Ovis aries: one gene and its partner. The protein of the gene in region 1 interacts with the protein of each later gene in a pairwise test. Links are inferred from orthologs where the notes say so. Each region holds a gene or a part of one and is shown on either strand. Other genes may lie near its edges.

The links.
Region 2: the proteins of CEP72 (region 1) and PIN4 interact in binary tests that used the Homo sapiens proteins (3 or more experiments, as listed by UniProt). The two-hybrid records come from large-scale screens. The link is inferred for Ovis aries from reciprocal best matches to the Homo sapiens genes CEP72 and PIN4.

The regions. Positions count from the first base shown.
Region 1 is NC_056069.1:71,549,319-71,552,960, reverse strand, and holds part of CEP72 (centrosomal protein of 72 kDa), read left to right. Parts: intron 1-1,670; coding exon 1,671-1,945; intron 1,946-3,642. UniProt on the Homo sapiens protein: Involved in the recruitment of key centrosomal proteins to the centrosome.
Region 2 is NC_056080.1:64,767,086-64,771,253, forward strand, and holds the start of PIN4 (peptidyl-prolyl cis-trans isomerase NIMA-interacting 4), read left to right. Parts: upstream 1-1,231; 5' UTR 1,232-1,284; coding exon 1,285-1,327; intron 1,328-3,779; coding exon 3,780-3,853; intron 3,854-4,034; exon of another isoform or gene 4,035-4,138; intron 4,139-4,168.

The sequences.
Region 1 (3,642 bases):
GTAGGAAGTCAAGAAATACCTGGAGTAACAGGTAAATTTGGCCTTGGAATGCGGAATGAAGCAGGGCAAAGGCTAATAGAATTTTGCCAAGAGAACACATAGCAAACCCCCTTTTCCAACAACAGAAGAGAGGTCTACACATGGACACCACCAGATGGTCAACACCGAAATCAGATTGCAGCCAAAGATGGAGAAGTTCCATACAGTCAGCAAAAACAAGACTGGGAGCTGACTGTGGCTCAGATCATGAACTCCTTATTGCCAAAATCAGACCTAAATTGAATAAAGTAGGGAAAACCACTAGACCATTCAGGTATGACCCATAAAGAAGGCAGAGTGCCAAAGAATTGATGCCTTTGAATGATGTTGCTGGAGAAGACCCTGGAGAGTCCCTTGGACTGCATGGAGATCAAACCAGTCCATCCTAAAGGAAATCAACCCTAAATATTAATTGGAAGAACTGATGCTGAAGCTGAAGCTCCAATACTTTGGCCACATGATGATGTGAAGAACTGACTCATTGGAGATGACCCTGATGCTGGGAATATTGAAGACACAAGGAGAAGGGGGCAGCAGAGGATGAGATGGTTAGATAGCCTCACTGACTCAATGGACGTGAATTTGAGCAACGTCTGGGAGATTGCTCTGGAGGACAGAAGAACCTGGCATGCTGCGATCCTTTGGGTCACAGAGAGTCAGACACAACTTTGCAACTGAACGACACCAAGACGAGGGAAACTAAACAAGTTAATTGAGAGTGTTGTTTGCATGAACGTGGAAAAGGCATCAGAAACCTCCCGAGTGAGAGCAAACCTGGTCCCTTCCTGAGTTTCATCCAGGTGAGCTCGTGGGGACCTTGGAGGCAGCGCGGGTCGTGGCGGTGCCTGCCTAGCGCCCGTGGCCCGCAGTCACGGCCTCTCGCTTCATGTGCTTTGTGTCGTGAGATCTCACGTGTGTCCCTTCACACGGATTCACGTGGGGGTGCATGTGTGCGTGTTCTGGTCCAGGTCCATCCAGCGCACGTGGAGTATCTTAATGTCACGTCTCAGATGCTTGTGAGCAGGAACACGTTCTCAGTTTCCATAGTCTGTCCTGGAGCTTTGAAGTGTTCAGACTGGACTTCTGTGGGGTCACCCTCAGTCCCAGGCGGCTTGCTCTGCTGGCTCCTGGTGGCCAGACACGCTGGGGTGTAGTGGGGCATAGTGGGGCGCGGTGGGGCGTGAGCTCGTGCAGAAGCCCCAGGCTGCTGCAGGTCAGGGGGAAGTGGGGCCGTGTCACATAGTGGGCCGAGCAGCATGGAGAGTGACTGGTGTGCCTTTGGGTTGTGGAAGGCGGGGGCTGGGTCCCTCTGAGTGTGAGTCAGACCAGTCCTGGCAAGGGGGTGGTGGTGGCCCGCTGACACTGGTCAGGTGGACTTGGTGACGGACGTGGAGCCGGGGGGCCTTGATGTCCAGGTGGTCTCTGACCCAGGCGGCCAGAGAGCAGTGGCCCGTCCGCTCACAGAGCCAGTTGGCCCAGTCTGTTACACAGAGCTTTGGCAGGAAGACACAGTGATTGGCCAGTTTGCCACTTGCCGGTTAGTTTCCCGTATTTGTGCGCACACAGCTGCAGCACTGGTCCCTGAGCCCCGGGAGCCCGTGGTGAGGGCTCTGCCCGCTTCTCTGTTACAGACTCCACGGAGACCGAGGACTCAGGCGCGTCTTCTCAGAAGTCCAGTGTGTTGACACAAAAGATGTTAAACGCCTTACCTGCTCCTGAGAAGTACAGGAAGCGGAGGATGCCTGGCGGGAGGTTCCAGGCACCTGCAGAGGAGGCCTGTCTCAGCTCTCTGGAGGGGAGCCTGAGTGTGAGCCGGAGGAGCGGTTCGGAGGCCTGGGGCCAGGCCGCCTCTTCCCTCTCGGCCACCCCAGGGCCCGAGCAGCCAAGACCACCCAGCGCCAGCGAGGTGAGCAGGGCTGAGGGTGCTCGCCGAGCCCCCAGGGTGGATGCTGCCCTCACGTGCCCGTCTCCGTGGCGCGGTCACGGCTGCCGTTAGAAAATGCCCTTCTGGGCTGCCTTCTGGGGCGGGGTGCCTTGAGGTGTCGTCTCGGGCCTGCTGCCCACACGGCCGCTGGTCCCGCGGTTGGTGCTCCCCCGGGGCTGTCGTGACCGCAGTCCCAGCTGTGTGTGCTGTGCCTCCCCTGGTTCAGGAGAGGAGGTTCTCCCCAGATTGTCCCACAGCGGTTGTAGACTGTGCCTCGCTGCCATTGTTATGGCCGAGTTGGAGACTGAGACGTTCTCAAAGGTTTGGGGCTCAAGTGAAGACCAGCGTGCAGACATAGGGCAGCGGGCAGCCCTGCCGCAGCGCCCCGCGTGGGCAGAGGAGGGGAGAGCACCCCAGCTGAGAGGGCCTGGGGGGGCGCTGAGCCCCTGTGGTTGGTCCTGAATGGAGACCAGCAGAACCAGGGACGCTGCGCTCGTAGGTGCTGGGTGGTTCGTGGCTGCCGCAGGCCACGGGCCGGGGTCTGCTCCCACGGCTGGTCTGGCTGCATCTTCCGTCTCTCACTGGGCTGAGGGAAGGAGTGAAAATGGAGATTCGCTTGAGTCAGGACTGCTGGGGCTTTCCTGTCCCCGAATGGAGCCGCCCCCATGGACCCCACTCACTGTGGGGTTGGGACTTTGCACAAGGGGGTGCTGCCTGCAGCTCCCCTCCTTCCAGCACTGTGACCCCAGGTGGTTGTCTTGGAGAGGGCTTGACCCCGGTTCCTCAAGTGGGAGGCAGAAGCCTGACCCCACTGGGCTCTTTTCCTGCGCCTGACGCCGCGTCGGTGCAGCTTCTGACAGAAGTGTTGGTGCGGTGCTCCTGGATGCTCTCACCCTCTGCTGCTTGTGGCCAGCTGTTGGCCTCAGTGTGCGCACGTCGACCAGCCCCAGGGGACAGCTGCCCCGGCCCGATGACCCCTCGTGGGCCTGTGCCTTCCCGAGCCCTGGGTTCCCGCGGGTGGGGAGTGGCGGGAGTGAGGGGCCCAGTGGCTCCTGCACCCCCTTCTGGGTCTGGCTGGCTGTCCCAAGATGCTCTTTGGGAGGAAACTTTTGCTTTCTCTAACAGTGAGGGCACCAGGCCTCATCCCAGCTCTGGCCTTGCTGGTATTGACTCGCTAAATCCCTGCTTCTCAGGAAATGTTCCCTGGACACTCAGAAAGTGAGCCGGCGGGTAGGAGCCAGCTCCCTTTCTGCAGTAATCCCTTAAAACTGATGAAATGATTTCTAAAGGGAAGAAAAGTGAGCTCTGATGGAAATGCCTGTGGCTGTGGGCCCAGCGTGGCTGGGGCCGGGTGGGGCCACGAGGCTCTGCCCGGCAGCTTGTTGCTGCACCAGCCCAGCCAGCCCTCCCTCTGGTCCTGTGTGCACTGGTCTACTCCAGGCCACCAGGCTCCAGTGAGCGTTCGGGCCGAGACTGTTTCCTCCCCACCCCACAAGAGTGGCTGGGGCTGGTCAGGAGGGCCCAGCCTGACCAGCCTCTGACTGACACAGGCCACAACTCAGCCGTTCCTCCCGCTGAGGGATGGTTTCCCCGCCCCCCAGACATGGACAGGCATGCAGGGGCAGGGAGGCGAGTCCCACGCACCGTGCCTGCAGGTGTGCGCAGCGTGACCCTCCTCC
Region 2 (4,168 bases), on another chromosome or scaffold:
TGAGAGAGCTATCGCATGAAGTGGAGGAAAAGCCCTGATCTTACAAAAGTCGGGAGAAGAGGGGTTGTGGATAAGGGTAAAAAGTTTGAGGATGTAAATTCAAAACTCATTCACCTTAAGCTAACACTCCACAAGCAAGTCATTGTTTTATGTGCTTTACAAACTTGTTTAATTCTCTTTACATCCTATAAAGTCAAGTCAAGTCAAGTTGCTCAGTTGTGTCCGACACGACCTCATGGACCGTAGCCTACCAGGCTCCTCCCAGTACTGGAGTGGGTTGCCATTTCCTTCTCCAGGGGATCTTCCCAACCCAGGGATCGAACCCAGGTCTCCCGCATTCCAGGCAGACGGTTTAACCTCTCAGCCACCAGGGAAGCTTACATTTCCTTCTCCAGGAAGGAACCTGGACCCAGGGATTGAACCTGTGTCTCCTACATTGCAGGCAGATTCTTAACCATTTTGAGCCACCAGGGAAGCTGCACAGGTACTAACTACAGCAAATATTTAACAGTAGTAGTGTTAGTCGCTGGAGAAGGACATGGCAACCCACTCGTGTTCTTGCCTGGAGAATCCCAGGGACAGAGGAGCCTGGTAGGAGGCCGTCTATGGGGTCGCACAGAGTCGGACACGACTGAAGCGACTTAGCAGCAGCAGCAGCAGTGTTAGTCGCTCAGTTGTGTCCGCCTCTGCCCATCATTTTCTCCTTTGAACTACTTGAGGCACTGCTTTGGGCAAATTCAGCCACTTATACAGCCTCGCTACAAGCTGTAAAATAACTAAAAGCGAAAACCTAAAACGAAGGGCAGGCCGGTGTGTATGAGTGCGCGAAAGGGGTAGGCGGCCGCCGAGGTTCTTCCGGCTATGCCTTTGTCTAATTGCCCCGCGTGATTGGCTGGAACCCCGCGCCGAGGGACTGCAGAGGCGCCCCCCAACCCCCACCCCTCCGGCTTCCGTTACGCACGCGTGGAGGAAGCGGGTAGGGCAGTCGGGGAAAGGGCGCAAAGAAGGGCGTGTGAAAGAAGCCGCAAAAAGCACAGAGGCGTAACTCCCCCCGCCCCGCCCAACCTTTGCCTCCGCCCCTCTGCCCCGGTCCGAGCTTCAGCCCCATTGGCCCAAGAGTCAAAGGACCGGGCCTGCCCCAAGATATGCCTGCTTCCGGAGCCACGGTAAGGATGGCCAATTGCGATGCCGCTTTCTGGCATATGTTTAGGACACACCGGTGGGGCCTGAAGGGGGTTTGTGCGGCAACCTAAGCAGTTGAGAGTTCAACGGCAGATTTTGGAAATGCCCCCGAAAGGAAAAAGCGGTTCTGGAAAAGGGGGAAAAGGTAGAAACCAAGAAGAAATGGGGTTGGGTGAGGAGCAAGGCGGAGGGAGCAGACCGCCGGGGTCCGGGGCGGAGGCAGCGGGTTGCCAGTGACTAGAGGACTGACCAGGAAGTGATGTTAGAAACAATCAATACAGACTTCAGTTTTTATTTAAAAGCATGGGGATTAGATGGTGGATAGAAGAGGAGAAAGGATTACAAGAAAGTTTGATTTTGTTAGTTTCTTCCGAATGGGCAAAACTTGGGAGTGAGGCTGTCATGAAGGATCCATTAGTTAGGTAAAGCTACAGGGTAGTGAAATTTGGGAAAAAAGAGGTAGAGCAGTTAGTTGACTTTGAGAAGAAGGGACATCTTAAGCTTGACGTCACAGAGATGAAGATGGATGTGGTGATAAAAAGTGGAAGGCAAGAGTAGTTTTTAAAACAGCAGGGCAAGTACTGAGTAGGGGTCTTGAGGACAGTGTTAAGCGTTTGGAATAGTCATTGGGGTGGTAAGAGGGGATGAAACACTTAAAAAAGGATTGCCCTTAGGGCTGAGAGCTTAAGATTGAAGGCTATGAATTTCTGTAGGACACAATCTGCTCAGTCATGATTTACCTAGTACCATATAACTGGCACAATACAGGATTGAGACGAGCTAAGTATAACCTGTAGCCAAGGTTGAGGTTTTGTTGGACAATGATAATAGAAGAAAAGCAACACAAGGGAATTACGAATGCCACTAGGGACACGGTTCAGATGATCAAGCATGGGATCCAGACTGGGAAGGGAAGAAGTTTGATAGCATAGGAGAACATAGGAGGATAAAGGAACTGAATGGGGGGAAGGAGGAGGTGTTTCTGTGACATTAAAGAACCTGTGTTGTGGGAGTGAGGCATGAGAAGGCTGGAAGAACAGAAAGTTGTAGCCAGAGATTGAATTAGTTGTGAGTGGCACAGTTTGATCACATGCCCCTGGGAACAGGTGGCCTGGAGTAAAAGGCATGGGTATTTGGGAGGGAGGTCTAGAAATGTGAGGTTAGGCTGTTGGATGGTTCCTCTGAATAGATAGTGAAGTCACCCAAGATTAGGGCAGTAGTGAGGATGGAAAGGAAGCCTGAAGTTGCTGCCAGAGTTCTCAGTCAGAGGGAGTGAAGGGGCATTCAGAAGATGATAGCATCCATTGGGGCAGGGGGTGGGATGACCAGAAGGCATCTTTGTTCTAGAGAAAATAAGTTTAGTGTAATAAAACTCCTTTGGCAGTAACATTTTCTTAGGCATTTGGTGGTTGGCATTTTGGATATTCAGTTTTGTGGAACATTTATTGAACAACTTTTGGGTGCTCGGCATTGGGGTTCCTAAGACAGGATGGAGTCTCCTGAATAAAATTTTAATGCGTCCCTATTACTTCTAGGATAAATTCCAAGTTCCTTAATGGGGCTCAAAGGCCCTCATGCCCTAACCCTCAGCCACCTCCCCTGGGTTCCTCTCACAGCACTCCCACTTCAGATTTGGCTTCGTCCCTAGTTTCCCCCCACATACTACACTGTTCCCCTACCCTGGAATTCTCCTCACCATTGTCCTGTCTTTGCCTGTTCAGCTCCTACTCATCCAGGAAACCTTCTTTAACTGGCTAAAATGTACCTCTGTGCTTCCACAGCCCCCTATTTATACAGCATAGCTCATCCTCCTGAAATGATCTTTTACATGATTTTACATAACGATATTCCCGAGTAGTATATGAGCCCCCTGAAGGAATGTATTATGCCATTTGGGCTTGTTCATCTTTGTATCTCCAGTGTCTGGAACTTAGTTACTTAGGAAATGTTTATGAACTGAACACTTAAACCAACAATAGTTCTTAGGAACATCAGCCTCTAACAGTAAATATGCTGCCATCAAAACAGAAACTGGCATAGTAGCAAAATGACACAGTAATAAAATGTAAAATACTGCCCATTGTGTTAATCTGAATATTGATAACTTCTTAGGAAGGTTATCAGTAGGCAATGTCATTGACTCCAGGAGTTTGGACATGAATGTATTCTTTACCCAAATATGGGTGGTAGGAAATTTGATCTTTATTTAAAATATATTCTTGGACATTTTACCTCCTATAATTGTGAGTATCCAAGTACATAGCTGCCGTGCTTATTAGAAATCTCACAAGAGCTCCAGGGTTTGCTCTTAGAAGGCAGGATTTCAAACTGGGTCTAGAGAAATCAGGCCAGGTTTTTGGTGCTCCCATTCAACTATTAGCACACTCACTTGTGTATCCATTTTCCATGAAGGGTTTTTGTAAGGCACAAATTTCTTGTTTTAAGAGGTATGTTACAGGTTAATTTCGCTTGATGTAAAGTGTCTGCAGAGTTCCCTTTTGAAGCTTGGTGCTGTGATGGAAGTATCAACTCCTATTGTGTTGAATAATAAGGTGAAAGTGTAGTTTAAATGAGTACTTGTCATCTCTTCTCTAAAGGAAAAGCAGCCTCTGGGAGTGAGAGTTCTGAGAAGAAGGCTCAGGGTCCCAAAGGTGGTGGCAATGCAGTAAAGGTGAGTTACTCTGCTCTTTTCTTTTTTTTTTTTTTTTCATTTTAAATATAAATAACATATACATCTGTTATTTTGGTACACATAAAAGGAAAAGACAGCATGCTTAACTCATCCTAAGGCTAGCCTAATACTGACAGAAGATCAAGATAACACAAAAGTGATGCTCCCTTCGGCAGCACATGTGCTCCCTTCGGCAGCACATATACTAAAATTGGAACGATACAGAGATTAGCATGGCCCCTGCGCAAGGATGACACACAAATTCGTGAAGCGTTCCATATTTTTCAATGTATGGCAAAACCAATACAGTATTGT